2 linked regions of the Neodiprion lecontei genome follow. The protein of the gene in region 1 purifies or fractionates together with the protein of each later gene. This does not show direct contact. Links are inferred from orthologs where the notes say so. Each region holds a gene or a part of one and is shown on either strand. Other genes may lie near its edges.

Region 1 (16,430 bases):
TTTTGTTCCAAGTCGATTTTAACAATATCTTGACCGATTTTTGTCTGAAAACACGTTTCCATCGTTGCTAAATTTCCTGACACTACTTCTGCATACAGAACTATTGTTGTCACATCAGCCAACCAAGTAGCCATCTTCGACCCAGCAGTAAAAGCAGAAATGACATTTTTTGTATGCTCATTTTCATCATCGTCTTCAACCAATGCTTTTATAAAGCTGACTGCAATTTCCACTAATTTTTCTAAAGAATATAGGTGTTCTCTAGAGAAATAGTACAAAAATGAATACATGAATAACAGAAATCAATAGCTTACATTGCTTTCTTAGAACCATATTTCAAAAACAAGTAACTTACGACAGAAAGATATTTGCCCATAGAATGTCTGCACATTTTTTAGTAAGGTCAACAAGTTTTGCGGGAGATAACATCGTTTTTAACTGGACCAGCCCATTTTTCCATGTATTCTGAACAGTTTTTCTTATCGGGAAAGCACTGCTATCTAAGTCAAGTGTGCAACTTAATCCAAACATAGTTTCGATAATTTTGACAACTCCTAGCCTTAGTTTGTTGTGAGTCCAAGTTGCAGAGGATATCTCAGAAACCAATTCAACGAGTGAGTTGAGATTATCTTGACTCTGTTCATTCAAACCTTTACAGAGGATTGAGACAATGTCATCAAATGTAGAATCACTGATAATTAAATCTGAAAATGCAAAGACGCGATTATTTTTAAATGTACTGTTATAGAAAATGATGAAAAACAAGAATAATTAATACAGTAACTAACCGGTATTATCAGAACACTCGAAACATTGCATGAGAATTTTTTTGTTCACATCCAAATCGATGGTAGTTTCATTAACAGCTACTTGTTTAGTCACATCTAGTAACACAGACGACACTTCAGCTTGTGAAAACCACTCTTTTACTGCAGGATCCTTCCTATTATGTTTGAACAAAGCACACTTGACCGCATGCCTAAGGATTATTTTATTTTCGTTCTGTAACTGTTGTAAGTTTGCACTTTGTATATTTGTTTGGACAATTTATCATAAAATTTATTTTCAAGACATTTTTGAATTAATTACTTATTGGACGGAATATCTACCTCTGATAATGAAGCAAGAACTGTTTTCTTGTCCAATTTATCCAAATATTTGATGAGGCTGAACAATAACATTATCAATAGCTCCGTCTGTTCTGGCTTTTCAATCAACCATTTTCTCAAAGTCTTATTGTAAAAATCGAGAAAACTGGTATCTTTTCCACACGATTTTGTCAATGCAATAAAAAGGTCTTTGCTTTCAAAGTTTGTGATTAATTTATAACAGGTTAACATGACAGCTGATTCAGAAGAATCTTTATTGATGTTATCAAAATGAACGGAAGTTATTTTGTTGATTAGTTGAGCTAATTCTGTACAATACTTCAGGTCTTCTTCTGGAACTTTAGGCAAAACTTCGTCGCTTTTTTCTGCTCGGTCGTTTGAATCAAAAAATTTGACTCTCAAATTTTTGCGAGTCTCTAATGTGGTATTTTTTAAACTGAGAAACAAGTCCAGCAATGAGTCATACAAGTTTGAAATGTGAACTGAATCAAAATTTGCTTCAGTAGAATGAATTAGATTCAAAAGTGTCTCCTCAAGAGTAGACCAAAATTGTTGAACTAAATGACCATACGACTTGTAATCGGCGACGCTTCGATTTTTACTCCAATAACGAATGAGCTGGCTTATTTGTTTAAAAATCAAAGGTTTCACTGGTGAAATCTCTACCAAACACCATTCCAATGTTGGCATCAACTAGAACGTGAAAATAAAATATATACTTTACAAATTTTGGTATTCCAAATTTAACACTTACTTACTTTCATTGTTCCTAATGATCATCACTTGAGTTATTAATAGTTAGTATTAAAAATAATTTTACCTGTTGTTTCAGTAAAGTTTCGCACAAGATTTCATCCTCATTATTCAAAAGAATCACATAACGCAAACACTCGACGAATGCAGTGACCACTGCCAGCATCTCTGAGTAGCTGAGTTGAACGCTCTTGACTTTAAAGCTGTACGAAATAATTATGATTATTTGTTTGTTTCACTTTCTATTTGCTGCCCAATTACTTTTACTTAGGTGAACAATTACCCCTTCCGTAAATTATTAAAGAAATTTGTGTAAAAGTTCATCTTGTTCTCGTTTTGTATAGGAAAGTGGCTGATGAAGGGCAGCAAATTAGGATAAATTGCATTGGCGCTGCCATTACCTCCTTCTCTTAAAACATGCCACAACTTAGGTATTATGAGCTTTTCAATGCTGACTACTGTATGCCAACCCTAGAGAACATGAATTAAACTCTAATAATCAATTTGCTAATTCTGCAGCTGAATATGTACATTGTCATCCTTTCTATTACCTCTATTTTACATATTGCAAGAAGCACAGCCTCCCACACAACTGGCAAGACACCAGGATCTGTTTCATCAAGATTGTTCATAATGGTGGTGATCAATTTCTTTTTCTCGTTCTTGTACAATTCTTCGGCGTGTTGAATCATTGAGGCAAGAACATTGAAGAATCCAGCTCTGACTAGAGGTATTTCATGTTTAACCAATTTCCAGAACTTATTGTGTGATAAAATTTTATCGTGAATCTTTGCCACCTTCTCTATTTGCTGAGGAGAAATTGTTTTCAAGTATAAAGAGTATCCTTGTAAACTTGATATCAATAATCTCTGGTATCTCATGTCCATTTCTTCAGGTGTAACTGTCCTTAAAATCAAAGAAATTAATAAAAAATTTCATATGTCATTGACACATTACCCTCTTCACAAAAATACATAGTATTTTTGCATACTTATTATTTCCAAGGGTTTGCGGCGTTTGATTTGTTATATTGTCGCAGATGTAAGTCAAAATTTCTTCCTGACAGTGTGCAATTGCGTCTGCTAATTTATTTGGTGGGAATGTTTGCTGTAAAAAGTAAATGGGAATTACTTGCGGTCTGGAAGATTGTTTACCTGCTGTTATTAATTATTATACCTGGAAAGCATTGGTAGCAGCAGAGGCTGCAGGCGCGTATGTATCATACTGTGACGTAAACCACGGTCCAGCCAGCTGTTTCAAATACGGAGCGATATTTCTTCCCGCAGGTTTAACAATGGCCAAATGCGCCACATGCGCAGCTTCTCTAACTCTATGTTCCACATCAATAGCAAGCAGACAATATATGCGGGGCCAAAATGGAAGGACTGCTAGAATAGTTTTTGCGGTCGAGTTGTTGCATAGCTCAGTAAACTCCTGCAATGCCTGTAAAATTTTCTGAGCATAAAAATACCGAACCAACAAATTCAACGAGGATTCACCTTTAATTTTGTCGTTCCATCTTTTTTATTCATTTTCTTCAACAGCAGTTGAAAGTGAGAGTCCAGTTTACTCATGTCGATTTCGTCCAAGGTACTAATCGTTAGTCTTGGTAAGAGGGGAATATATCCTCCATCCTTTGCCCCTGAAAACCCAACGAAGTTGGGCATTGAGGCTTCGAGCAGCTCTGCACTGCGACCGCTACTTGATGGCTATAATAAATAGTTGAACTCTTCAATTTTAGACCATTTGTATCAACAGATATAGAAAATGATGAAATAAAAAATTGGACATCAAAATATTAGATTTATTAATCTATAAGCTGCCAGTCAAAGACTCTGGCAGGGATATGAAGATTGGTATCTCTGTCTAAAACAGCCAGCGACACACGCTGTCATCGTTACAAATGTACTCATAATACAATTGAACAAAATATCAGAAAACAGCTAGTCAGTGAAACCCTGTGGATATCACATTCGGTGAGTATTAATTGAATAAAAAATAGGCGGGTGACAAAGCGAATTATTCGGTAAAAAAATTGAACATATTTTTCTGACAGCAGATTGCTTGTAATAAAACTTGTTGTCACGCACTTACCCTTGCATTATTTTTAGTACGTTGTGCCTGTTTGTTTTTTCCCATTTCAACGAGTCTCTAAAATAAAACTTCCAGACTGTATTATAGAAACTGTTCAATATTATTAATGTTTTGACAAATTCAACCCTTGAAGAATTTCTAACCACATTTCAGCCAGTGATGTCCGTGACTTACGTATCGCTCCACAGTGTATAAAAAAAATGTAGAGATACTAACAGCTTACATTTCACAACCCTAAAATTCGGTCAATCAGTAGTGCTCTCTGCGTCGCGCAACTCAAGTCGGTAAACGGTCGGTACGTAAAGACGACAGGACTAATATTATCATCACGTGTACCCAGATGGTTGATGCAGTGTCGGATGTTATTATGACTATGAAACGACCACCGAGCCGTACACCGTCGCCAACCCACAACCATGCAAATTCATTTACGGCGATTCATTTCAACCCAATTCAGCAATGTTAATCTTACTGCATCTCCGTCATATCGACAAAAATAATTTTATTTGAATCCGTGCACAACATAGATATACACGATTGGCTGTTAGAAACCAGTTATTGATATAAACAATAGGAAAATAGCCGGAGGTATTATGAAGGACATATGTAATGGTACTTGTATGTAACTTCTGTCCTTGTAATCGGCAATGTCAATCTAACTCCACCGGATAAACAAAAATAACATTATCTAAATAGATGCGCAATAAACATGCACATGGTTTACTGCTAACAGAGTTAGAAAAACCACTTCTTGATGCAAAGGATGGGAGACATAGTCAATACTATATATAGGATATCAGAAACTCACGAATGGATATCACCTAAGGATAGATTTTCCAAATTCTTTATGATCAAATTTTCATCAATTATCTACAATATCTCTGTCAAAAAAATACAGACGAAAGGTTGTAAGACCTTTCGGAAGCTTCAAGAGTTTTCCGCTTCCAATAATCCATTGGTTTTTTCTGAGACAAGATTCTGATCTATCGAAGTTTTCTGTAGATTTCCGCAAACAGAATTTACAAATTTTGCAGACCTAGGTAGAAGAATTTCATGAAGTGAAGCGGAGACATTGGTAGAACGTTAATGAGTTACATTACATATGTTAAAATTACAAGGAACTTGTTAGAAATTCATGTAATTGCTTCGTAAGTATCCAAGAAATATGTGTCGTTGATGAGTTATTGGAACAGCATCGGGATCCAATAGTGGGGTGATTGTCAGTTTTGGAGAAATATATATATACATATAGGTAAAAAAAAGCGCAGGTAAATTTGAATTTACGAATTCACTTTAACTAAACTAGAGAAATCCGACGGTATTACGATTCCACATGCATTACATGTTATTGAAGCATGAGTTTTATTGACAATGCTTAAATTTACGCAAGAATAAAATTGTCATTTGAAAAACTACAATATGTTAGTATTTCACCAGTGAAAATAAGTTCACTTATGCTCGTTTCCACACCACCGCAAGCGGTAGAGCACCCGGCGCGTTTTTTTTTACGTGGTATCCCCAGTAGGCCTACTCCACGGAGAATACTTGCAAGATCGATCTTACGTTCTTCGAAAACTTGCACATGACTTTTTTTCACATGTTAATTATGGTAAATTGTTTTTCCCAATCAATTTGAACTCGTGTATATTCGCAGTTCAGTCGAAATTTTTCACTTCGTATATCCCGCTGACTATTTATTATCGATGAAAGATGATTGTTTTAATTATAGATGAAAGATGGTTGTTTTAATTATGGATGAAGGGTGATTGTTTTTATCTTATAAGTGAACGTGAATTGACTTTGGATGTTCGCGCACGGGTTTTTTCCTATGAGGTATGAGATGATCATTAAAATGGAGAACCTGGTGAATACGCAACACAATCAACAACTAAACCAAGATTGAAAACACGAATCGCTGTAAGACGTTGGCATTTACCTATTGAAAGACGATGCAGAAATCTTTGAAGAAATGGAAACGAATCTGAGTAGAATAAGCACAACCACCAAAATACAACAGAGCTGTATAATTCTATAGTGAAATACAAATCGAACATGACCTATGAGCGACTCAAGAAAAAAACTACAGCAATAAATTGTACCACACTTTGTAACCACCAACTACATCGCTAAATCTATATATCGGTGAAAAAAAAGATGACTGACTCTGAACCAGACCTGAACTAGACTTAAGCCATACCTAAGCCTGAAAAATGAAGCGTTAATTTTTCAGTATAGTCATTAAAACTCAGTTACCTGGAACAGACGAAAATATAATTAGTAACATATGTCGATACAGGCAGAAATATACTTATCTTAAAATTAGGTAAATAAAAACTGTAATTAACGAAATAGAGACACATTAATTAATTGAAACAGACATAAGATTTAATTAGCTGAAACAGACAAAAGGCTTGATTAGCTGAAATAGACAAAAAGTTTGATTAGCTAAAACAGACAAAAGGTTTGATTATCTGGAACAGATAAAGGGTTGGATTATCTGGAATGGACAAAAAGTTTGATTAGCTGAAATGGGCAAAAAGTTTGATTAACTGAAACAGATAAAAGGTTTGATTAGCTGAAACAGACAAAAATATTGATTAGCTGAAAGAGACAGAAAGTCCTGATTACCTGAAACAAACAAAACGTTTGATTAGCTGAAATAGACAGAAAGTTTTACGGGCTGAAACAGATAAAAACTTTTATTAGCTGAAATAGACAGAGGGTTCGATTAGCTGAAACAGACAAAAAGTTTGATTAGCTGAAATAGACAAAAAGTTTGATTAGCTAAAACAGACAAAAGGTTTGATTAGCTGAAACAGATAAAGGGTTCGATTATCTGAAATGGACAAAAAGTTTGATTAGCTGAAATGGGCAAAAAGTTTGATTAACTGAAACAGATAAAAGGTTTGATTAGCTGAAACAGACAAAAAGATTGATTAGCTGAAAGAGACAGAAAGTCCTGATTACCTGAAACAGACAAAACGTTTGATTAGCTGAAATAGACAGAAAGTTTTACGGGCTGAAACAAATAAAAACTTTTATTAGCTGAAATAGACAGAGGGTTCGATTAGCTGAAACAGACAAAAAGTTTAATTAGCTGAAACAGACAAAGGTTTAATTAGCTGAAACAGGTGAAGGTATGGTTAGCACAATCGCGTAAGTCCATACACTGACAAAAAATGAGTCGAGTCCAACATGATATTCGCCTTAATATTCGTTGCTTCGATTATTAATTGTGTTGATGAATAAAAAACATTCTCAAGTTTTCGAATAGACATCTCTTTCTGCTTTGAGTTATTGAAGTGAATATCTTTTTCGACTCAACATTCTATAGTTTTCAGTGCATTCGTTAAAAAAATGATTTTGTTGCCCTAAAATAGAAAATAATACGATCAATTAAACGAGTATGTCTGTACATTTCAGACATATTTCATAAATACTTATGCTAAAATTTTCCACTATCAGAGTACACTACAGAGATTTTTGTTCCTGCGAGTTGAGCGCCGGTTTTCAAATGCCGCGCTTTCTCTCATAACTGAAAGGTACCAAGTCCACGCGCAAAAGGCAGCGTGGAACTTGAAAACTTTATTACTCGTCAAAAAATTGACAAAAGAGCTGAAATATCAGCACATCGATAGTGCATAACTCTTTCATGTACTGTTTGCAAAATCGACGCGCAAAAACACGTGTCCGAGTCCCGTTATTAATTCACGCGCAAAAAGGCGCGACCGATTAACCTGTCAAAAACCTTAAATATCTAGGACTTGTCGCAAAATTCTGTAGAACCCCAATCCGCATTTGCGTCTTTTTGAATCCGACACATTGCGATGCGGATTGTTATTCTGACATGCGATCAAGTCCGGGAAGGAGGTTGGAGGGCATGCATTATTGTGTGGCGTGACGGTCGGCGGTCCTCTTCGACGCGAAGTCTTCGAGCTCAGCATCTCTCCCCATCTAGCGTACCACGGAACGCGATAGATGGTCCAGAGATGCGTTTTGCCCATTCAGACGATCACAGAGATCAATTGAATGGAATAACGATCGGTAATGACTAAATAATCGAATTGCATAACGACTGAAAAATGGTCGCAGAGTGACAACAAATGGAAAATTCAATTTCTTTTATATTCAACTGCTGTCAAATGGTCGAGAGACCCGAATGCGGAGTCTTTTGGTAAAAAAATTTCTGTGATCGTTTGACGCTGTGGATTAGAAAAGTTAGTAACATCACGGTACATCGCGACCTTCCTACCCTCGCCTGTTTCCCAACGAAGCCACCCAACGGAAAAGAGAGATTCACACACTCATGCATAAACCCCGCGACGGATCCCAAAACGTCCACCTACCTACCCGGTTACCTATATTCGACCTAAACGATTCTCCATTCTCTCCAACACACGTCATTCTTCATCATTTGCGTCGTGGTCACTGACTTACATTTTCGTTGGTTACCTGTTGGGAGCAAAATGTTTTTGTATCGTAGTCTGCCTACTCAGAATACAGTATCGCGGTTATATTCCGCCAACCCTAATATTGCATTTATTATTTTAGTAAATGTTGGCAGACTATCGGTACATTAACCTTTTGTAAAAGTGATTAAAAACATCCTGTATGCCAATTAGCATTTTTCTAAGCGAGCTAAGCCTGCAGTTGATCAATACTTGTTGGCTGTTAAAAGATTGAAAATGATATATAAGATGCAAATTGATTACGTTACGTTATGCCAGACTTTCGAATTTCATAAATTTAACAATAACGTGAATAATTGAATATGTTCAAACCTCAGGTGAACCCACCACTTAAACGGCATCATCGGTAAATTCAAACGTAGATTATTACATCAGTTACGAAACACAATTCGATCTCGCGAGTGCCGAGTAAGCGATGGTTACCTGTCGCGATGCTCATTCCACTTTAAGCAACGTGTATAATCTCTAACTAGAAGTAAGCTACGCTAAATTGCATTGCGAAAAAAAATTATTCAACCGAAAGTTAAGCACGTTGCGATCGTGAATGAGCCTAACCATGCAGCTAAGAAATCGAAGATTTGTGTAACAATTGTTACCGCCACGCCACGTGACAGGGGAATACCAGGGAAAAACCCGTAACCTAACACATGCAAACTCACCAGCGTTGCCGAGAAATGGAGAAGTTACTCGGAAGTCTCTGCTTAAATCTGTGAAAAGCAAAACAAAACACTTGAATTAATTTAGGAAATCGGCTTTTCAGATTTCAAGTCAATTATTACTGTTATCGAGATTCATATTTATACATTGCATGTTATGCAAGAACAAAAGTTCGGCTTTAAATGACCACCGTGAATTATCAATCAATAATTAAAGTATTGTTACCTCGACTCTGGGCTGCTCCACACTTTAACACGTAGTAGTTCTTGTAGCATCTCAGGTTTATTGGTGAAGTGACGCATTTTTCACACTATTCAGATCTTCAGTAATTTCTTATAATCCGAAAATCCGCACCGTAACGATACTCGATTCTACACTCACTTTCTGTGCTGTAGCAGTATCTTTGAACCGACCAAATAAATTTGCTAACAACGGAACTGCGCATTTGCCGAAAATCAGCCAAAGAAAAAAAAGAATAAAATTGACACTCGTTGCACAGAGCCAAAAATAGACATCACTTAAATCTGAAATTACATAAAACAATGAAAACTCGGGACACGAAATTCACCTTCACCATTCGCAGGGTGTTTTTATTTCAGTCACTCGGTTTTTCCACAGGCTACACGCTGCTCATCGTGTATTACTCACAGATGAGTATGGTGGAAATACACTGATCGAACAACGTGACACCACCTGAACAACGCGGTCTGAATCTTGAACCGATACTGAGAACACGTTATTTCACTCCGATTGCTTGGAAACGACTGATGCACGGCACGACGCTCAGAAGAGATTTAACTGTTCTCTGAACGATGGAAGATAATAATTCGCGCGCCCTCTCTGTGGCTCTTCCCATGGAGTGGGGGTAGCTGCACATACCTGCCTAGGCTTTTCATCCCCCCTCTCGTAGCCCACACTCCATGGGTAGAGCGACAGAGAGAGCGCGAGAATTATTATCTGCTGTCCTTTAGAGAACCGACTCGATTCCGTTCATAGGACAATTAAACCATTGCTTACGCTCTATTTTACATATCTATGGTTTCAACGGCCAACAAACTCGTATCATCAGGCTAGAACACTAGAACAGTGATTGTGAGAATATAACCATAGTATAACCTAAAAACAATTTGCAACTTCTGCTGATGAGAGAAGCACGTTGCGTTGAGGTCGTTTGAACAGCCGGTGTGAAACTTTTTATTTATTTAAACTAAAATCGGTTTTTTGCTGACTATTGCATAGAGTATTTGCACAGAGTCGTGAAGGAAGATGTGTGAATTCACACGTGAATAGTTTTCTGCTGCTAATACAATAATATCAAATCAATCTAATACGGCTGCGAAGTAGCAGGTTGCATCATTCGTTTATCACAAAGTATCTAATTGTAACACTGCAATGACGGAAAAACTACCAGATACAATAAACTTTCCCAAAGAGGAAGAAGTCATCCTCGAGTTATGGAAAAAATTGGACGTATTTAATACTTGTTTAAAACAGTCGAAAGGCAAACCTAGATATTCCTTCTTTGATGGGCCACCCTTTGCTACTGGTATGCCACATTATGGTCACTTGTTAGCAGGGTCAATAAAGGACATAGTCACGAGGTATGCACATCAGCGTGGGTTTCATGTTGAGCGAAGATTTGGCTGGGACACACATGGCTTACCAGTAGAGTTCGAAGTCGACAAAGTGCTTGGGATCAAGGGCCCCGATGATGTAGCCAAGATGGGGATAGCCAACTATAACAAAGAATGTAGAAGCATTGTAATGCGCTATGCGTCTGAGTGGGAAACTATTGTTGGAAGGATTGGACGATGGATCGATTTTAAGAATGACTATAAAACTCTTTATCCTTGGTATATGGAATCCATATGGTGGATCTTTAAGGAATTATTCAACAAAGGTCTCGTATATCAAGGTGTAAAAGTAATGCCCTTCTCTACCGGATGTAATACTCCATTATCCAATTTTGAATCTGGTCAGAACTACAAAGACATCGCCGATCCTTCGGTAGTAATCGCTTTTCCACTGCTCGACGAACCTGGAATATCTATTTTGGCTTGGACGACAACCCCGTGGACTCTTCCCAGTAACCTGGCATTATGTTGCAATCCGAATTTTGAGTATGTCGAGGCGAAAGACTTGACTACGAATAAAATTTACGTCATACTTGAGTCAAGTTTGAACCTTATATACAAATCTAAAGATCAGTATGCATTAGTTGGTAAGAGGAAGGGCACTGACCTTAAAGGTAAACGCTATGAGCCACCATTTAACTACTTTTGCGATCTGAGGGAAAAAGGAGCCTTCGTGGTATTAAACGACACTTACGTAACTGCTGAAACTGGTACTGGAATTGTTCATCAAGCACCATACTTCGGAGAGGATGATTATCGCTGCTGTTTGGCAGCAGGAATAATAACTCGTGATCAGTCTGTTGTCTGCCCTGTTGATAACTGCGGTAATTTTACAGAGCCAGTAAGTGACTTTTTGGGTCAGTATGTCAAGACTGCTGATAAAAATATCATAAAGCATCTGCAAGGAAAAGGAAAACTTGTTCACAGTGGAACCAGCAAACACAAATATCCCTACTGTTGGAGGTCCGATACTCCGTTGATCTACAAAGCAGTTCCATCTTGGTTTATTAGGGTTGAACAATTCAAAGACAAGCTAATAACCGCAAACTCTGAAACTTATTGGGTGCCTGAATATGTTAAAGACAAACGTTTCGGTAATTGGCTTCGAGATGCTAGGGACTGGGCCATCAGTAGAAATCGTTACTGGGGTAATCCCATACCGCTCTGGGTGTCCGAGGACAAAATGGAAATTGTGTGTGTTGGAAGTATTGCAGAATTAGAGCAGTTGACTGGATCCAAGATTGAAGATATTCACAGAGAAAGTATAGACCATCTGACCATTCCTTCTAAGCGTCCTGGGCATCCTCCTCTTAAACGTGTCACGGAAGTATTTGACTGTTGGTTTGAATCTGGATCCATGCCTTATGCTCAAATGCATTACCCTTTTGAACGAGTCAAAGACTTTGAAGATAGTTTCCCAGCTGATTTCATCGCCGAAGGTATCGATCAAACTCGTGGTTGGTTTTACACCTTGCTGGTAATTTCTACAGCATTATTTGGAAAGGCACCGTTCAAAAATCTAGTTGCTAATGGTCTGGTCCTTGCTGCCGATGGTCAGAAGATGTCGAAACGAAAGCAGAATTATCCAGATCCAAAAGAAGTACTTAATAAATTTGGGGCTGATGCTCTAAGGTTGTACTTGATCAACTCCCCAGTAGTCAGGGCTGAAAATTTGCGCTTCAAAGAAGAAGGTGTGCGAGACATTATAAAAGACGTATTTTTGCCATGGTATAACGCATTTAGATTTTTGATGCAAAATGTTGAGAGATTTGAACGTGAAGAAAAACTACCATTTAATTACAATGAAACCAAGAAGATTTCTGACTCGTCGGACAATATAATGGATAGATGGCTCACCTCTTTTACTCAGTCATTGCTGCAATTTCTAAAAGAAGAAATGCAAGCTTATAGACTTTACACTGTCGTACCTCGACTGATAAAATTTATAGATAATCTAACCAATTGGTACGTAAGAATGAACAGAAAACGAATAAAAGGTGATGGAGGAACAAGAGATTGTGAACAAGCGCTGAACACGTTATTCTCTGTTCTCTATACAATGGTGAGAATAAATGCACCGTTTACACCATTTTTAACTGAATTCATGTTCCAACGACTGTCCAAGTTAATTGTAGCAACCAAAGGCAACATGGACAGCGTTCATTACCAAATGATTCCTGATCCAAACATAGCTCTTATTGACGAAACTATCGAAAAAGCAGTTTCTCACATGCAAACAGTAATTGAGCTCGGAAGAGTTGCTAGAGACAGAAAAACTATTCCTGTAAAATATCCATTGCCAGGAATTGTGGTAATCCATCGAGACCCCAAAGTTTTAGAAGATATCAATTCACTCAAAACATATATACTTGAAGAATTGAACATAAGGGAGCTCACTACTACAACTGACAAAGAAAAATATGGCGTTATATTACGTGCTGAGCCAGATCATAAAACGCTTGGTGCTAGACTGAAGGGCGAGTTCAAATCTATAATGCAAGCTATCAAGCAACTATCGGATGAAGATCTACAAAAATTTGTTGCAACAAAAAAAATTGAAGTACAAGGTCACGAATTAGGGCCTGAAGATATTCGGCTTATGTTTAGCTTCACCGGTCCAGCAGCTGAAAAATTTTCTGAACAATACGAAGCACACAGTGAAGGAGATATCCTGATTCTTCTGGATGTTACTCCAGATGAAACAATGCAGCACGAAGGGGTTGCACGTGAAATAATAAACCGTGTACAGAAACTAAGGAAGAAAGCACACCTTGTACCATCTGATGAGGCTATTGTGTATTACGAGATTGAGGACCTTAGTAGCAACTTGGCTGCAGTGGCTGTTAGCTATAAATCGTTCATAGAAGGAATTACAAAAACGCCTCAGAAAAATATCGCAGAGATGTCTCCTGACGATGATATTATTATACAAGAAGAACAAAAAGTTAAGGGGGTCAATCTTAAACTTGTTTTAACAAAAGTTAAACCATCCGATTCTACCGAAATCAGACTACATCTCAACGACTCCCAAGTAGAACCATTCTCTAAATGGGTAAATTTAAAACTCGTTAATCTTAAACCAAGATTTGGGGCCACTAATTCGGTAGCCACCATATTGTTAGAAAATTTTACCGGAGGTGTCAGCATATCGTATAATCAACTGAATTCTGAGATCGAGAAAATATTTGGTATATATGGCTGTCACTACGATTTGTATTCTGATGGAAAACTAGTTACTGAGTCAACACCAATCACGTCGCTACACACGCAGACAATATTAATTGTTCCAGCTGGTACATGTCCGTCCATATCAAATGTAAACAACAAATTACCTGTTTGTCACTTTGTCAATGTAAAATCGAAATCCCAAAAGGGTGTCATCCTACTTGAAAATCCTGTAGGAAATTTTGCCTTGGACAATAGTGCTTTGCATCAAAGATTATTAGTGTTTGGAAATGTTAATTTTTCTAATGTACCAGCAGATAATATTTTTAAACTCAATGGGACAACATTAGAAGCCAAATAATAATGTATTCGATTTTCGTCGTTTCTCTTCTTTTTGTTTTGCTACTTGAATTCAGGTAACAAAGTTTTGAAAAACGATTTTATGCTAATACTTGATTGTGGCTCAATCTTTTACTGGAATAAGAAAACGCCAGGTGGCAATTAGTAGTTCTTTGATTGCGTATGTATGTAAATTATAGGAATTATTTTATAAATAAAATTGAGATTTATATTAATTATTAGTCAATTTGACAATTTGATTCTTTAACCTCTGGTTTATTCTTCCTACATTTTAAAAATAAAGATAACGTTCGGAAAATATAACAAACAAGTTAAGTTTAACATAAGCTCATCACGGGTGGCAATAATTTATAAAATAACTCAAACTGCATTCTGTACGCATGTAACATGGTAACTGAAATATAAACCTGCTATTTCAATGTAACAACGATGGTTTTTTTTTTTTTACATTCTATATACACGGCAAAGTTTAGAATTTGCGTATCATTTAAATTAAACAAGAATTAATTCATAGCAAATTTAATGCCAACAGTTTTTCATCACCTATATTTTACAAAAAAAAAAAATATATATATATATATATATATATATATATATTTAAAATTGAAAAGTAGTACGTGGTAGAAAAATTTACATAAGAATTTTCTTTTCCGAAATATTCTCTCCTCTTCCTGATATTTGTAAGGTAACAGTATACTTTCCGGACTCTTGTTATGCAACGGTCAATGTCTGAAAATTGAAAACAGACTTCGTCCTTACTTAATGTAAAGACATTGCGTTTATTCCGAGACAAAATGTTCAAGATTTCACGTGATCAAGTCACTTTATCCGTAGTAACTGTGTTTTAAATATTTCATATAACATTGTCCAGTTTTTCCAAAATGATTAAGGTCGTTTTTATTCAATGTTTCTAATACTATCTTGATCAGGGAAAAAATGGCCGAAAAGTGCAACGGTAAACATAGCGGTGAGCGCGTATAGTGCGAGAGTAGTAGTTGCCGTGAATAACTGAGCATAATGGTATCGTGAATACCAAGCGAGACCCAAAATTACTGTCAAAATGCTAACTAAAAGTCTACTAAGATCCCAGTCGTGCCGTCCTCCTGCAAGACCTGCACTTGCTGGCAAGTCTTGGAATGATTGAGGGTTAAAGTACAGTGGCGAGGCATTGTCTGATGTGCCTGACTGAACTGCAGGCGTAGGATTTGGTCGTGGTTGATGTACCAAACAATGAACAACACAATTATGGTACAAACCGCACCTCTTCAAGGTTCTAGTATCAGGTTGAAGTACCTGACCATTGAATACCAAACGAACTAGTTTCTGAGCAGCAAGTTCCACCTCAAAATGTTTCCTGCAAACAACAAAAGTCACAAATAGAATTTTTTTTTACAGGATAAGAGATACCAACTAGAATGACCAAAACATCTTTGTTATTTAGCATAAGGCACATCCGTGTTACGGATTTGGGATAAAAATGGAGTGCCCTGATCACCTTTTAAAATCACCCAATAATTCCTCTGGACTTCCTTTAACTACTTTTTGATCGTCGTTGATAAACTTTAGTTTTATAGTTATTTGGGTAGCTTCATCAACCACAGGCTCAGCACCGGCACCTAAATGCTCGGTTGTGATAGTAGCCGCAGATTCAGGTACATCAGTTGATTCCGTAGCAGTATCGATCTTGACTATTCTCTGTCGTAATCCGGAATCATCGTTATTGAAAGTGTCCATAGCTTGGATCAGCACTTCTTCGGACGAGGCAGCCGCAACAGATGAGTTTGTTTCGTTTTGTTCTTCAGCAGGAGCTGCAGAATTGCAATGGAATATGATTAACAGTGAATAAATTGAGAAATTGATTAAAATGAGTAAGAAATTCGTCGCACTAGCTCTACCTGGGACAGCGGATGATGTTGGACATTGCGGATCTACCGTATCGGTCACAGTTTCAATTGCATGTTCTATAGCTTCAGGTGTGGGCTCAAGATTTTGGATTCGACTTGTAGAGTTTGTAATCTGACTACTCGCCCTAAGTTCTGCAATACGAGTACGTGTGCGATGTTGCAATATCAACACTGTACGTATAAGTGGCTGATCGGCTATACTTGTAGAACACCATGCCAGCCATCCAACTAACAGTACGCTGACTATTATGAAGAAATCGGTTACTTCGTCACCAACACCGTCAA
Region 2 (15,324 bases), on another chromosome or scaffold:
GTAGCGGACCCGAAGCGCGGGATCCGTGAGGTTGAGAACCCGGTACTCGAAATTTGCGGAGCGCGACTCTCATGCGTCCGCTCTACTGCGCGGTTGTTTCCCGACTGAGGAATTCGGCTAGCTGATTTTGAATTGGTGACGTCACTTTCTGAACGTCCGACATCCAAACTATGGTTTCAAACTTTGATAGTATGTATGATGATGTATCATGTACGATGTATGATGTACGATGTATGATGTATGATGTATGATGATATGATATGATGTATAATGCTTTTAGTTTTCACGTTTCATACAAGAAATACACACTTCATCTCTCCTGCCGATTCCAGACTCAAGCGGCCAGGCCCTTCGATGGTCAGCCGTTGACTGAAGATATATTCTTCAGTGAACGGGTCGGTTAAATAACGCTGCCGTTCTGCGACAGTTGAATGATGAAAAATTTCGCTCCTATCCTTCAAATGTGTGTTGAAATACACTCAAAGTGTTAAGAAGCGTCGTTCTTTCTCTCCCTATCACCTTTCTAGGTCTTTAAACCACTACGCAGCGTTAAATACCGTCTCATATACGAAGCATCCATTCCATCTCGTTCAAAATTAGCGCATCCGTGATGTATTACAGTTACTCTGAATTTTTTTCCATCCGAATGCTTTTCGAAAAACAATTCTGCTCCTCCACCCAACGCAGATACTTCACTTGCGACCAGCTAAAACAACGTTTCGATTCTATGCCTATGAAAATTCAAGATCGAGAGAGCAAATGAAAAGTTGTTGGAATAATTATGAATACTAATGTTATGGAATACATGGAGCGCGCGTCGAATAGAATCCCATTTTGAAATGAATAATTCTTCTCTTCATATCATAGCTAATCTAGTAATATAGGTAAATAGGATGGTTGGAGGTGTTCGGAAATGGTAGGAGGTGGTCGGCGCTGGCAGAAGGTGATAGGGGATGGTCGAAAGTGGCCATTGATGGTGGGAGGTGGCAGGGGGAGGTAGGAGGTGTTCGAAAATGGTAGGACATTTCAAAAGTTAAAGTCGACGATGATCCGGTGCGTAATTTTATCGTTACAGATTTTCTTTTCCCGTGAGGCATAGAGTATTCAACAACGATAATGCAGTCCTTAAAATTCATCATTCATCTCTGTCTGAAAAGCTAATTCGCAAGGCGTTGTATTCTATTCTATTTGCATTATCAGAAAAATACCCGTACTCTACATACACTGTTTCTAATCTTTTGCTACATTTGGCTTAATCCCCATGCTTCCACAGCACGAATAGTCGGAAATGTTTTTGATTATCCATAATAAAATAAAAGAGGTAACAAAGCTTAAATTTATTGTTAAAGCTCTAATGAATACATCAAATTGCGGTCGAATTCATTTATTATTTGCACATCTCCTCTGTATATTTGATAAATTATTCCTAAATACGTTGAAACATATGTATTTATAATGAAATATCATGCAATGGGCTGTGTAAACTATAAACTATAATTTCTATCGAATAGCTGCTTTTATGTCAACAGGGCTTTGAGACTCAGTTCAGTTCGTCCTCCTCCTCGTCCACCTCCGACCACCTCCAACAATCGCCAACCACCTCGAACAACCACCGATAACCACCTCGGGTTGTACCTGGAATAGCAATAAATATTTTCAGTATAAGAACACATCAAAAACATTACGTAAGGATTCATATAATTAATTAAGTGATTGACAATATTAATAATTTCATTAGCGCATTCATAGCTACCGAATTTGTGCTTGCGCGGAAAATGAATTGAAACAATTTATTGTAAACGTGACAAGTCTGTAATATTTTAGATGAAATATAATTACAATTGTCATCAAATATTATAAAAATGTTTTACTCACCGAGCACAAATCCTCGTCCTTGTCGTCCAACTCGTTCTCCTTGTCTTCCTCGTCCTCCTCCTCGTTCACCTCCGACCACCTCCAACCACCTCCAATCACCTCGGGTTATACCTGAAATAGCAATAAATATTTTCAGTATAAGAAAACATCGAAAACAATCCGTAAGGAATAATATAATCAATTAAGTAATTAACAATATTATTAATCCCATTAGCGCATTCACAGCTACCGAATTTGTGCTTGCGCGAAAAATGAATTGAAATGATCTATTGTAAACGTAACAAGCTTCAAAAAATTTCAGATAAAATATAATTACAATAGCCATTAAATATTATAAAAATGTTTTACTCACTGAGCAGAAATCCTCGTCCTCTTCCTCCTTATTCACCACATGTCCCTGAAGTCGAGTTTCATTAGGTAGTGGACTTGGAGCGCAGAAGCTACGGAGCGCTTGTCCTGGAAGTTGAGTTTTACCAGGTAGCGGACCTGGTGCGCAGAAACCACGGAGCGTTCGTCCTGGAAGTCGAGTTTCACCAGGTAGTGAACCTGGAGCGCAGGAACCACGCAGCGTTCGTCCTGGAAGTCGAGTTTTATTAGGTAGCGGACCTGGAGCGCACGAAATACTGAGCGCTTTTCCCTGAATCAAGTTTCCCCAGGTAGCATACCTGAAGCGCAGGACACACGGAGCGCTTGACCTGCAAGTCTAGTTCCTGCAGGTAGTGGGCCTGGACAGCCAGAACTACGGAGCACTTGTCCTGGAAGTCAAGTTCCTGCTGGTAGTGGACCTTGAGCGCAGAAACTACGGAGCGCTTTTCCTGGATGTCGAGTTGTACCAGGAAGCGGACCCGGAGCGCAGGATCCAGGAGGTAGAGAACCCGGCACTCGAAATCTGCGGAGCGCGATTCTCATCCGCCCGCTCTATTGCGCGGTTGTTCCCAGACTGAGGAATTCAACTAGCTGATTTTAGATCGATGACGTCAAGAGAAAAAAATTTTGGGTGACGTCACTTTCTGAACATCCGACATCCAATCTTTGGTTTCGAACTTTAATGCTACGTATGATATGATGATGTATGATGTGATGTATGTATATATGATAAGATGTATAATGATTTTAATATTCGCATTTCAGACAAGAAATACGCACTTAATCTTTCCTGCCGATTCCAGACTCAAGCGGCTAGGCCCTATGGTGGTCAGCCGTTGACTAAAGATATATTCTTCAGCTAACGGGTCAGCTAATATCGCTGTCGTACTGCGGCAGTTGGATGATAAAAATTTTTGCTCGTACCTTTCAAATGTGTTCAAATACACTCGAAGTTTTAACAAGCTTCGTTCTATCTCTCCCTATCAAAAAAAAAAAATAAATAAAAATCGACGACAATCACCTTTTTAGGTCTTTAAATCAGAACACTGCGTTAAATACTGTCTCAAATACGGACCATCCGTTTCATCTCGATCAAAATTAGCGCATCCGTGATGTATTACAGTTACTCTGAATTTTTCTGATTACGAACACTTTTCGAAAAACAATTCTGCTTCTCTACCCAACGTAGATACTTCACTTGCGACTAGCTAAAACAGCGTTTTGATTCCATGCCTACGAAAATTCAAGATCGAGAGAGCAAATGAAAAGTTGTTGGAATAATTATGCATATTAATGTTATAAAATACACGGCGGTGCAGGGGGACGAGGAGGACACAGGCGGTCGGAGGTGGTCGGAGGTGTCCGGAAATGGTAGGAGATGGTAGGAACTGGTAGGTGGTGGTTGTCGGAGGTATGAGGTGGTTAGAGGCTGTAGGGGCGGTAGGAGGTGGTCGGAGATGGCATAAGGTGTCGGTCGGCGGCTGGAGGGGGTAGGAAGTGTTTGGAGGTGGTTGGAAGTGATCGGCGCTGGTCGAGGAGGACGAAGATGACATGGACGTCGATGGTCGGCGTGGAGGCGGTGGACGGAGACGAGGTGGACAAGGAAGACGAAGGTGGTCGGAGGTGGGCTGAGGTGGTTGACGGTGGTTGAAGGTCGTTGCGATGGTTGGCGGTGGACGCTGTTACGCCTCTTCTCACGGGAATGATCGAGCTGATCGACATTTCTAAGTCGCGGTCGACAAATAGTCTTACGTACTCACTTTGTACCGACTCAATCTCAACCTTCCATACCGACACTACTTTGGCTGCCAGGAATGTCGGTGCGAACTAGTTAGGTAGAGTCGATAGAGCAGAAAACTCCTACGCTCCCAGGCCCACTTGGGCCCACTTGCCCGCCGAAAACTGGTCACAAAAATTTACCCAGGAGTATCCGTCTTTATATTCTTCAGTCAACGTCCATGCGTTCGAGTCGAAGCCGTGGCTATATGTGGAAGCCGTTCGACTTTTATAAATAAAGAAAGACAGATATGGTAATTATTAGAGAAAATATTATCGTATAATCTTCATATTCTACATATTAAACACAAAAACCCAAATGTGGCTACAAAGTACCGTTATACCAAATACCGCAACAGCACGTAACCTCTCTTTGACACTACCCATCTGCTCAGAATTCACCAGGTATATTCATGTGATTGCGAGCAGGTATTCTCGAAATAACTCAGCTATAAAATCATTGACCAAATTCGGCTTTCATTTTTTCTGATCAATGTCATCAGTCCATAACGTGTACAAAATATGCTAAGGTGTGACGCGTTAATATTTATTATATTACAGGCAGCGGAAAGAAAAGGTACCTTTAAGGTTGAGTACCTGCAGAAGATTGAAAGAGATGTCCAAAAGCAATGGGAAAATGCTAAGGTATACGAAGAAGATGCTCCATTGTCTCAAAGACAATCGCCAGATGAAAAGTTCTTGGCTACTTTTCCATTTCCATACATGAATGGACGTCTTCATCTGGGGCACACTTTCTCTCTGTCCAAATGCGAGGTATTTTAATGTAGCTGATTTATTTATCATTCATCTACATTTTATTATATTGTCAATCACATGAAATGATATCTTATCATAAACACAATGTTGAATATAGAAATTTATCTGTGAGTATGAATGTACCGTAATTTTCAGTTCGCAGTTCGCTACAATCGTCTCTTGGGCAAAAAGGTTTTGTTTCCATTTGGATTTCATTGCACAGGCATGCCTATAAAAGCTTGCGCTGACAAACTTAAGAGAGAAATGGAAACGTATGGAAACCCACCAAAGTTTCCACTCGACGAAGAAGTCGTTACTGAAAAGATTGACGATATTGTCATGAAGGATAAAAGTAAAGGAAAAAAGGTTGTTCATTTTTCAGAGCCTTCGTTGCACTTCTTTTCACATGCAATGTGCAGTTAAAACATTTACAAAATTAGTATTACAAATTTCATTTAATAATTTCTGTTTCTCAACATTTGACAAACTCGCGTTTTCAGAGCAAAGCTGTAGCCAAAGCAGGTGGCGCGAAATATCAGTGGCAGATTATGCAGAGCCTTGGATTAAATGATGAGGAAATCCAAAAATTTTCAGATGCCAATTATTGGTTGGATTACTTTCCACCGCTGGCTGTGCAGGACTTGAAATCGATCGGAATACATGTATGTGGTATCAGCAATTGAAAGATACATTTACTTGATTGTTGAAAGTCTTCAAGTCAGATGAGAAATTTTTTTATTTAAATATATCTAACTTTTTATTTTACGCAAACTAGGTAGACTGGCGACGCATGTTCATAACAACCGATGCGAATCCGTTCTTTGATTCTTTCGTTAGATGGCAGTTCCAACATCTAAAAGCGAGAAACAAAGTGAAGTATGGAAAGCGGTACACAGTATTCTCACCCAAGGACAATCAGCCATGTATGGACCATGACAGATCCTCTGGAGAAGGCGTCGGACCACAGGAATACACCCTAATCAAAATGAAACTACTCGAATCATATCCTGCCGCACTTAAGTACATAGAATTAGTGTTCATTACTCGTCATGCACAAACTTCAATCGGTCTATTGTGAGATAAAACCCCTGTCTTTTATTCCCAGAGTTGTTCAGAGTAAGCCTGTCTATCTAGTCGCCGCTACACTGAGACCGGAGACTATGTACGGTCAAACAAATTGCTGGATTCGTCCGGACATGCGGTACGTTGCTTACAGCTTAGCAAATGGGGACATTTATATCTCTACAGAGAGAGCTGCACGCAATCTGTCTTATCAAGGCTTTACAAAAACCGAGGGTAAAATAGACATTGTTGCTCAATTGAGCGGACAGGTAATTTTTCAGCTACTTGATATTTCCTTGCAATTCATTGATCCCTACTTATGAGTATTGATTGAATGTTATACTATATACCAGGATATTCTTGGCCTTCCACTTCATGCGCCTTTATCCAGCAACGAAGTGATATACACTCTACCCATGCTTACTATAAAAGAGGACAAAGGTACGGGTATCGTGACATCAGTTCCCAGTGATTCTCCGGATGATTACGCGGCACTTGTAGATCTGAAAAAGAAGCAACCCTTCAGAGAAAAGTATGGCATCACAGACAATATGGTGCTACCTTATGATCCTGTGAGTTTAGATTCAGCGCCAAATTATAATAAATGACAGTTGTGTAGAGACAATGCCTAGAACACTCTTGAGATGAGATATTGTCTGCAGCATAATCATATTTTAAGTACTTTCATTTACAGATACCAATAATTCAAGTCCCTGAATTTGGAAATCTTTCCGCTGTAACGGTTTATGACCAACTGAAAATCCAGTCTCAAAATGATAAAGAGAAGCTTCTGACTGCCAAAGAAATGGTATATCTCAAAGGTTTTTACGACGGTGTGCTTTTGGTAGGTGAATACAAAGGGAAGAAAATTCAAGACGTTAAAAAGGACTTGCAGAAGAAACTCGTTGACGCCAAAGATGCAGTGGTATACTATGAACCTGAAAAAACGATAATATCAAGGTCAAACGACGAATGTGTTGTCGCTTTGTGTAACCAGTGGTACCTAGACTATGGCGAAGCAAACTGGAAAAAGCAGGCTGAACAAGCTTTAGAAAACTTGGAAACTTTCCATGATGAAGTTAGGAAGAATTTCACTGCATGTCTGAATTGGCTGCATGAATATGCCTGCTCTCGAACTTATGGATTAGGTATGTATTTCTCTAAATTTGTACAGTTTCTGCTGTAACGTCCAACAAAAACAATAACTTTGAATTAGTTCCTCAATTATTCCATAAAAAATAGTAGAATTGTTTTCAAAGGTACTAAACTACCCTGGGATGAATACTGGCTCATTGAGTCTCTGTCAGACTCAACTATCTACATGGCGTACTATACAGTAGCACATTTGATACAAGGCGGAACATTCAAAGGGGATAAACCCAATGCTCTTGGTATAAAGTGAGTTCAGTACAGACAAGCTTCTATTTTAGTAAGATTTTGCTACTACATTTTCTAATCCTATTTCTTCAGGGCTGAAGAAATGACTCCGGAAGTCTGGGATTACATATTTTTCAAAGATGCTAAGTTGCCACATGGATCTATAAAGAAAGAAGCGCTAGATAAAATGCGACGAGAGTTCCAGTATTGGTATCCTGTCGACCTACGTGTTTCTGGAAAAGATTTGGTCCAAAATCATCTTACCTTCTTTATTTATAACCATACCGCTATTTGGCCGGATCAACCCGAATTATGGCCTAAAGGCATAAGGGCGAATGGACATCTACTTCTTAATTCAGCTAAAGTAATGAATAGTTTGAGCTGCTTTATAATTCATGTGACATGACTCTTGAATTGAAGAACATACTCACCACAGAATCTATTTATTTATATGTAGATGTCTAAATCGGATGGAAATTTCCTTACATTGACTGACGCAGTGCGTAAGTTCTCTGCAGATGGTATGCGGCTCTGTTTGGCCGACTCCGGTGACTCTGTAGAAGATGCGAACTTTGTCGAAAGCACCGCTGATGCAGGAATCCTCAGGCTTTATACGTACATTGAGTGGATCAAAGAAGTTATGGTCTCAAAGAATACGTTCAGAAAAGGGGAGCCTAATACTTTCAATGATCGAGTCTTCCAGAGGTACGTTGAAAGCAGAAATATCATTAATGCGATGATCAGAGATACTTGTTTCATGAATTGTTTATATAATTTAAATTTTCTTTTTGCAGTGAAATGAATCTGAAGATACTTGAGACCAAGGAAAACTATCACAAGATGCTGTACAAAGAAGCACTTCGAACTGGATTCTATGAATTTCAGGCAGCGAGAGATAAATATCTGCAACTTACTCTGTCAGATGGAATTAATCTGACACTTATAATGAAGTTCATTGAAATCCAAACCATTCTAATGGCTCCCATTTGTCCGCACGTTGCCGAGCATGTTTGGACCTTGATTGAGAAGGTAAAGATACAATGCACGGTTAATGTCATGAATCCGGTCTCAAAATGTACTTGCGCCAATTCATCTGATTTCATTTTAATTATAGAAAGACAGTATTTTGAACGCCCGTTGGCCTATGGCTGGTCCGATTGATGAAATCTTGGTGAAATCTTCACAGTACCTAATGGAAGCCGCACATACTTTCAGAATCCATCTGAAAAATCAACTTACCGTGAAAAAGCCTGCTAAAGGGAAGGCTGCTCCTTCTCCTCCTGAAATACCTACTTTTGGTACGATTTGGGTGGCAAAAACATTTCCGCCGTGGCAGAGCACTGTTCTCACGAGCATGAAACAATTATTCGAGGTAAGTTGATGGATACCTGAGTATCGATTTATGGTATTATTTGCGAGAAACTTGAAACTGTTACTTTTATTTACAGAAGAATGGAGGGCAACTACCGGACAACAAAGTAATTTCTACGGAACTCAGTACCAAAACAGAGCTCAAGAAATACATGAAAAGAGTAATGCCTTTTGTGCAAGCAACAAGAGAAAAAATGGATACACTTGGTGTATCAGCTTTGAATCTAACACTTGACTTCGATGAAGTTGATGTGTTGACGATAAATCAAGATTATCTTCGAAGTACTCTAGACGTGAGTATAAAAAATATCACCGCAACGTGTTCAGTTAAATATACTCGGCTACGTATACTAAATAAATTTTCAATTTTAGTTGGAAAAAATTGAAATCAAATACTCCGACGAGGCTCCCGAAAAAACGAAAGAAGAATGCTGTCCTGGTGCACCGTATATAAGTTTCTCTACAAGACCAGGCCTTCCCGTTACCGTGGTGAATCCACAAAAGTGTAATAGCCTGTTTACCAAGATCATAAAACTCTCCGACGGAGACAGAGCAGTTGATGTCTCAGCGCGAATAGCTAAGGATAATAAATTGATAAAAGGTACAAGCATATATGAGAAATTTACTTAGTTAGTGACCATGAAGTGATTACTGATTTTGATGCTTTAAATCGTGTACTTCGTTTACAGATGCTACTTCAGTTCGCTTATACCGTTACGAAGATTCGATACTGGGGCCTAGAACTATATCAAAAGTCGACGATATACTGAATGGCAAAATTCTTGTTCCTCCAACCGCGGTTTTTAGTGTGAATTTAGATACTGGTACCGTAAAACTTGACGTAGAAGGAAAAAAATACCCAACTGGGCTAGATTTATTATACGTTGTAGAATAGCAATAGCGTTGTAAAAATGACTTATAATTTATTTACGTACTTCGCAATTTGTTTTTTTAATGAGGCGAATAAAACAAGGACAATTATAAAAAATCTCTATACGCAGAATTTGAATATAATCGAATCCACCTGTCACAGGTAAGTGATCATTTTAATCTTCAAGAATACCTACCTGTGAAGAGTGAGTATTTAAGATACAGAAAGCTGATCGACTGTCAGATGGCATGTGCATGTCGTATTCTGGGCTATTACAATGCCAAAGTAATATGTTATAGTCGTTGAGACATATTAGTTCAATCAAGCTGATTAGTTTTCTTCAAATCTTTAAAACAATTTAAACCTATTTCGCCTTCACGCCATGGCTGAAAAACAGTTGCCTACAGTAAGGCGAACCCGAGAGTTGAATATTTATAATAACTGCGAATAAAATTGTTTTGCGAGTACACTTTTCTGGCATCAAAAACAAAAGAATACTAATAACAAAGCGAACCTAGAAACTCCAGGTGACACGTTTCATACCTTTTTTTCTCGAATTGAGTTAGTTGATTATTAGCTAGGCGACAACAAACCGAGTCCTTTAATGACGGAAAAAGTTAATGAAACACAATGTTGAAAGTGCATCATGATTGCGAAATAAATTTGAAAGAAGATGAAGTATTATTCATCCCTGGAAGGGGTCCGTTTCGGTCAACATTCGGAGCGCTGCGACGCTCCTGTATGGTATCCGGAAAAAATCCAAGCGCGACAAAATATCTGCGGAGCCGAGCAGCCATCGTTTACGAAAAGCGACGTCATTTACGAAACTTTAAATACGTTATTCACCCGTTCAGTCTTTTCAGGTGGGTCCCTGAAAAAATGAATACTGTACGGCAAGATGATAATATATTATATCCTAGATTCTTGAAACTCTGGATCAGTACAATTGCTTTAATACAATGCATAATTCTACTACAACATAATAAAAATAATTTCACGTATTTATTAACCATCGGTGGTTTCTCGCATAAATGATCGTAAGTTAAATACAGATATTATCTTCGTAATTTGATAAGCATTGAAATGTAGAAGTAAGAAAAACAAACTCACGTTCTACAGACACTGGTGGGACTTCGCAATGGTACTATCCATGTATGCCCTTTGTTTGATTCTGCCATACCAAGCTGCCTTTGACATGGATCGGAAAATCCGTGGTTGGACCCAGGCGAAAAATTTGTTCATCGGTTTCTTTAACGCGGACATCATCGTGAATTTGAGGACTGGGTACGTGGCCGTAGTCAATCTTTTGTGGCAGAAATGTTATTGTTGATTGATTATGAAAAACGCTATTAAAATTCATTGAAAATTCCCGTAGACGGTTATTTGATTTCGGTATCAGTGCGTGTAAAGCAGAGATATTCATGTCCTTCTTTTCAGGTACTACGACCAAACTCTTCGGACAGTGCAACTGGATTCTTGGATGGTAGCAAAAAAGTACATGTTCCACGGTACTTTCTTTGTCGATTTGATCGGCTCGATACCGACGGACATATTTTTCTTGGCTCATTGGAACGAGCTGGTAGTATTGCGGGAGGTGACCTCGCTGATAATAATATTCAGGGGATTTTCCATGTACTCGTATACACATAGGCTAGCCACCTCCTACGACATATCGATCGGGATTGTGAACATAATAATATTCATCGGACTGATATTCCTGGCCCTCCACTGGCAGGCCTGCTTCCACTACATAGTACCACTAGCCGTTGAGTCTCTGGGGAAGCCGAAAGCTCCCGACGATAGCTCCTGGATTGCACAAAACATGCTCTGGGGGTCGACTCCTCAGACGAAATACCGCAGCAGCCTATTTCGCGCGGTTGCCATCTTCACTTGTTCCGGGTTCAACGGAGCTCCTCCTTCCACGATGGAGGACCAGTACTTGGCCATCATCTTCCAGGTGTTGTCGGTCCTCATTATGTGCAAGATGGTCGGCGCGATGATGCAGATATACAAGACCATGAACAGCTCGTCCCTCAAGTACCAGGCGATGACCGCCCAGCTGACTCAGTACATAAGGCACAAACAGCTCCCTGTGGAAAACCAGCAGCGATTCATGACCTACCACGAGTTTCGCTACCAGCACAACTACTTCAGGGAGTCGGAGATCCTGAGCACGGTTTCCAGCCAGATCAGCCAGGAGATAGGGATGCACTCGTGCAGGAAGCTGGTCGAGAACGTCACCTTCTTCAACAACTTGCCGATGTCGTTGCTGGTAAGAATCGTGGCCCTTCTTCGCTCCGAGATATTCCTCACCAACGACGTGATTGTGCGGGCCAATCAGCCGGGGGACTGCATGTATTTCATCGCCTCCGGGACCGTCGCTATTTACACCAAGTCCGGGAAGGAAGTCTGCCACCTAGAGGACGGTGCTCATTTCGGAGAAATCGCTTTGGTCATGCCGGACGAACGTCGAGTCGCGAGTGTCGTTGCTGTAGAAATTTGCGAACTTTACAGGCTGGAGCGCGCCGATTTTACTCGGACTATACACCCTTACCCCATGCTTTGGGAGCGGATTAAAAAAATCGCTATGGAACGACACGAGAAGACAACGATTTTGAACGCGCAGTGATTTTAACATTACAGTACAGATATAGTTTTTAAAGCAATCTGCAATGATAATTTGGCCATTTTGCTACAATTATAATTAATTGATAATTATCGATAGAATACACCGATATTCAGAAAGCCTAAGCTTTTCTTCTCGTCGCTGATTTCGACCGTTTTTATGCATGATTAATTTCTTTTCCAAGGAAATAGCCCGGTATATGCAAGGTACTTTTTGCTGCATATTTTCCCAAACACTCAATTTGATTCGTGAACGTTGATCGATATGATTTGTTTTTTCTTCGTGGCATAATTCATTGATTAAATACTTGAGCCACGTACGAAAACGTTGTGAATACCAGCCAGTGGTAACGTCTGTACTAACCAGCCGCCGGATTTTCATTCGAAGCATGCGAATGAAACGAGCCTTGGTAGATGCCACTAGCAACACTCTTCCAGCGACTTCCTGGACTACACAGCTTGACGTAGCCCGTATAATTATATACCGGAATAACATTTACCATTAGAAAAAAGTTAAACGACACTCATTATGAAAGGTCCCGGTTCAAGTCCCAACTTCGATATACAGCCGAATAATTGAAACGGTGATGTAATAATGCAAAAGAGCAGCTCCGCTTGTTTCCTCTGTATAATAACCAATTATACTTAGAGTCAATTATGAAAAAATCTCATTATAAATTGAGTGCGTTAATGACTTTAACAATTCAAATGGTTTTGGTGCTTCCTTGCACAGCACGCATTGTGCATGCAAACATAATTTTAACGCAATGCTCCGGAATATCGGGCTTATCCCGAATATTTTGCTAGAAGTCCCATCGCTTTCAAGAATGAGTAAAATAACACTGTTATGACGCATACAGAGTTCTGTATGCGATAACGAGAATTGCCCAATTGACATAATCAGAGTGTAGGTAACGGATAATAAGGTTTGCACTGCGATGACATAACAAGTTCAATAAGTCCACTGGCCAATGTGGTTCGTAAAAAAGTAGGTCACCACAGGGTATTATGCGCGAGTATAATATATCTACGTAACCTGTATTCGAAATAATATCGATAAATTATACGTTAATGTTATGCTTTATAACGTTAGTTTAAACGTAACTGTAATTTTACGAACGAAATATATTGTATATTATACAGGCCATGATTATCTTCATAAATCACAATACAGTTTGAATGATTATAATTAGTGTATACCAATTATCGAAGCTAAGACGGTCGTTTGTATTATCTACTACATACGTGCCTTTTAAAATTCAGAACCACACATGAAATTGCGAGATGCATGCGCAGTGGGTTATAACATTTTGTTATACCCACGTGCAGCATCTCGATACGTACGTGGTATGAATCAAATCCGGCGCGCTCCAAGATTCTGCAATAAAAATACGAGTAGTTAATTATCGCCCATAAATACATTGCGTGGTGCCACTGATTTTGACTTCCGTCCATTCGGGTTGCGATGACTCCCATATAGCTATATTCCGCATCATTTAACTCGATTAAGAATATGCATGACGTATAATAATTGTACGGTCAATCTTTCTAATTATACAATTAACGCAGTGCGGAAATGGATTTCTGAAACGGCCGTGGTCAAATTATAAGCTTATTATAGGTGTATACAGGTTGAAAAATAATTTGCCAGATTTTTTCGCAGCGCGTGACCGAACTCTCGAAATAGGGTGCACCGCGTGACTGTGTATCGTTTTCATGACTTTACGAATCAATCAATCATTCAATCAATCAGTCAATCAATCAACGAAATCAAAAGGTTGAACAGCTCTGAATTGGGTACTATGCGAAGAGTACAGGAACCGCTACTCGGCGCCGATAAAAACCCCGCCTCCGGCCTCGAATGATGAATGCCGAATAAAACGCAGTAAAGACATTTGGCACAATCGTTTGAAAATGTTAAAAAATTCTATCCGCACGGGCGAAACGCCCGAAAATCCCGATGGCGCCTACGCCGGGTACGGGAAAGAAGAGCCTCGGCCAGGGACGCCCATTCGACGGGCAGACAATGGTTTGTGCGCATCGACGCATGGGCAGAGCGCGGTTCGTGGCTGCCCCGGATGACAATAGTCGCTTAGGAAGGGCTGGGCATTGTACAATAGGTCGGCGATGCGCCTGCCTGGTAGCAACCCGCACCCTCCTCCCACACCTCCCGAGCCTCTGCTGCCACCGAATCTCCTCCGCCCCCGAAGCGTTGGCCTATTGTTATCAGCGCCGACGTGCAGCTCCCTGGGTTATGTGAATTCTGGCCACACCCCGCGACGCCAGCCAACGGGAGGGCCGCAGGCCTCCGGAGATTGGCGACCCTGCACCTGACCCCGCGCCACTCGACAATAGGCAAATCCGCGAACAGCGCCGATGTCGGAGTGAACGCCTCGCGATCAACCCTCGCGGGAACCGGGGGTGTTTCCGGTCCCCCGGGTTTTACCAGAGCTGTCTTCCGAGAGCTCCCCGGGGTTAAGGTCCTCAGCGTCTGGAGTAACCCGGTCCAAACCGAAGCGCTGTTTAGCGAAAGAGCGAGGCCAGAGCTCGTCGCCGCGGAAGGACTCGAAATGAAATCCAGAGTTTCGCTCGGATCACTGGATTGCATTGTGAAAACCGCGGAAACGATAACGCAGTTGACGAATTAGGAACTAGGTTCCATCGTGAAGCGTTCTGTGCAGGCAAACCCTTCAACTTTAATCCGCTATTAATTCACAAGTCTACCGTATGAAATTCAGCAAAAAATGCTCCACAGATATGATATGTGAATTCAGAGATAACTATCTCTTAACATCTGATGTTACGAATGATCATTTACGTTGATGTTTTTGAGTACGTGACAAAATATCAAACTCATGTCAAAACAACTGCCATTTAAGAGTTTGGTATGGCCAATGATCGATACCAACCGCTGTCAAATGATCTTTTTACTTGCCTAGAGTCAGGAATCTAGCTGAAAAATTAAAGGTAAATAGCTGAAACACCATTGACATATTGTAAACGCTACTTTAACCTGATCTTCTCCAAAGTTGAGCCCGTGGTAACGTGTTAAATACACGTTTAGAAATGTTATTTTCATCATTTCAGAGCACTTATTTTCCTCAAGTACTCAATAATCGGATTCATTAAGTTAGGTACACCGTGATTACGATAAGTTTACATAATCGAATACACTTTGCAGCAATTTCTACCCGATCTTGTACCAACGCAACAAAGTATACTATCAAGACGATTGAAGTGTGTGA

Evidence for each region.
Region 2: the proteins of isoleucine--tRNA ligase, cytoplasmic (region 1) and leucine--tRNA ligase, cytoplasmic purify together in Homo sapiens (affinity purification with mass spectrometry; 7 studies listed by BioGRID and IntAct, counting the BioPlex papers as one, with this or other methods). This does not show direct contact. The link is inferred for Neodiprion lecontei from reciprocal best matches to the Homo sapiens genes IARS1 and LARS1.

Annotation. Positions count from the first base shown.
Region 1 is NC_060260.1:8,072,943-8,089,372, forward strand, and holds isoleucine--tRNA ligase, cytoplasmic, read left to right. Parts: upstream 1-10,047; 5' UTR 10,048-10,474; coding exon 10,475-14,242; 3' UTR 14,243-14,791; downstream 14,792-16,430. Other genes in the region: E3 ubiquitin-protein ligase listerin, read right to left, coding at 1-261, 356-704, 789-1,008, 1,110-1,802, 1,930-2,065, 2,146-2,333, 2,414-2,768, 2,854-2,969 and 3 more; transmembrane and ubiquitin-like domain-containing protein 1, read right to left, coding at 15,139-15,595, 15,737-16,049, 16,137-16,430. UniProt on the Homo sapiens protein: Catalyzes the specific attachment of an amino acid to its cognate tRNA in a 2 step reaction: the amino acid (AA) is first activated by ATP to form AA-AMP and then transferred to the acceptor end of the tRNA.
Region 2 is NC_060265.1:7,203,552-7,218,875, reverse strand, and holds leucine--tRNA ligase, cytoplasmic, read left to right. Parts: upstream 1-4,112; 5' UTR 4,113-4,268; coding exon 4,269-4,271; intron 4,272-4,578; coding exon 4,579-4,791; intron 4,792-4,929; coding exon 4,930-5,139; intron 5,140-5,273; coding exon 5,274-5,435; intron 5,436-5,548; coding exon 5,549-5,793; intron 5,794-5,878; coding exon 5,879-6,104; intron 6,105-6,188; coding exon 6,189-6,407; intron 6,408-6,529; coding exon 6,530-6,983; intron 6,984-7,094; coding exon 7,095-7,233; intron 7,234-7,305; coding exon 7,306-7,576; intron 7,577-7,669; coding exon 7,670-7,917; intron 7,918-8,006; coding exon 8,007-8,241; intron 8,242-8,326; coding exon 8,327-8,584; intron 8,585-8,660; coding exon 8,661-8,876; intron 8,877-8,955; coding exon 8,956-9,184; intron 9,185-9,272; coding exon 9,273-9,478; 3' UTR 9,479-9,565; downstream 9,566-15,324. Other genes in the region: potassium/sodium hyperpolarization-activated cyclic nucleotide-gated channel 4-like, read left to right, coding at 10,593-10,738, 10,892-12,083. UniProt on the Homo sapiens protein: Aminoacyl-tRNA synthetase that catalyzes the specific attachment of leucine to its cognate tRNA (tRNA(Leu)).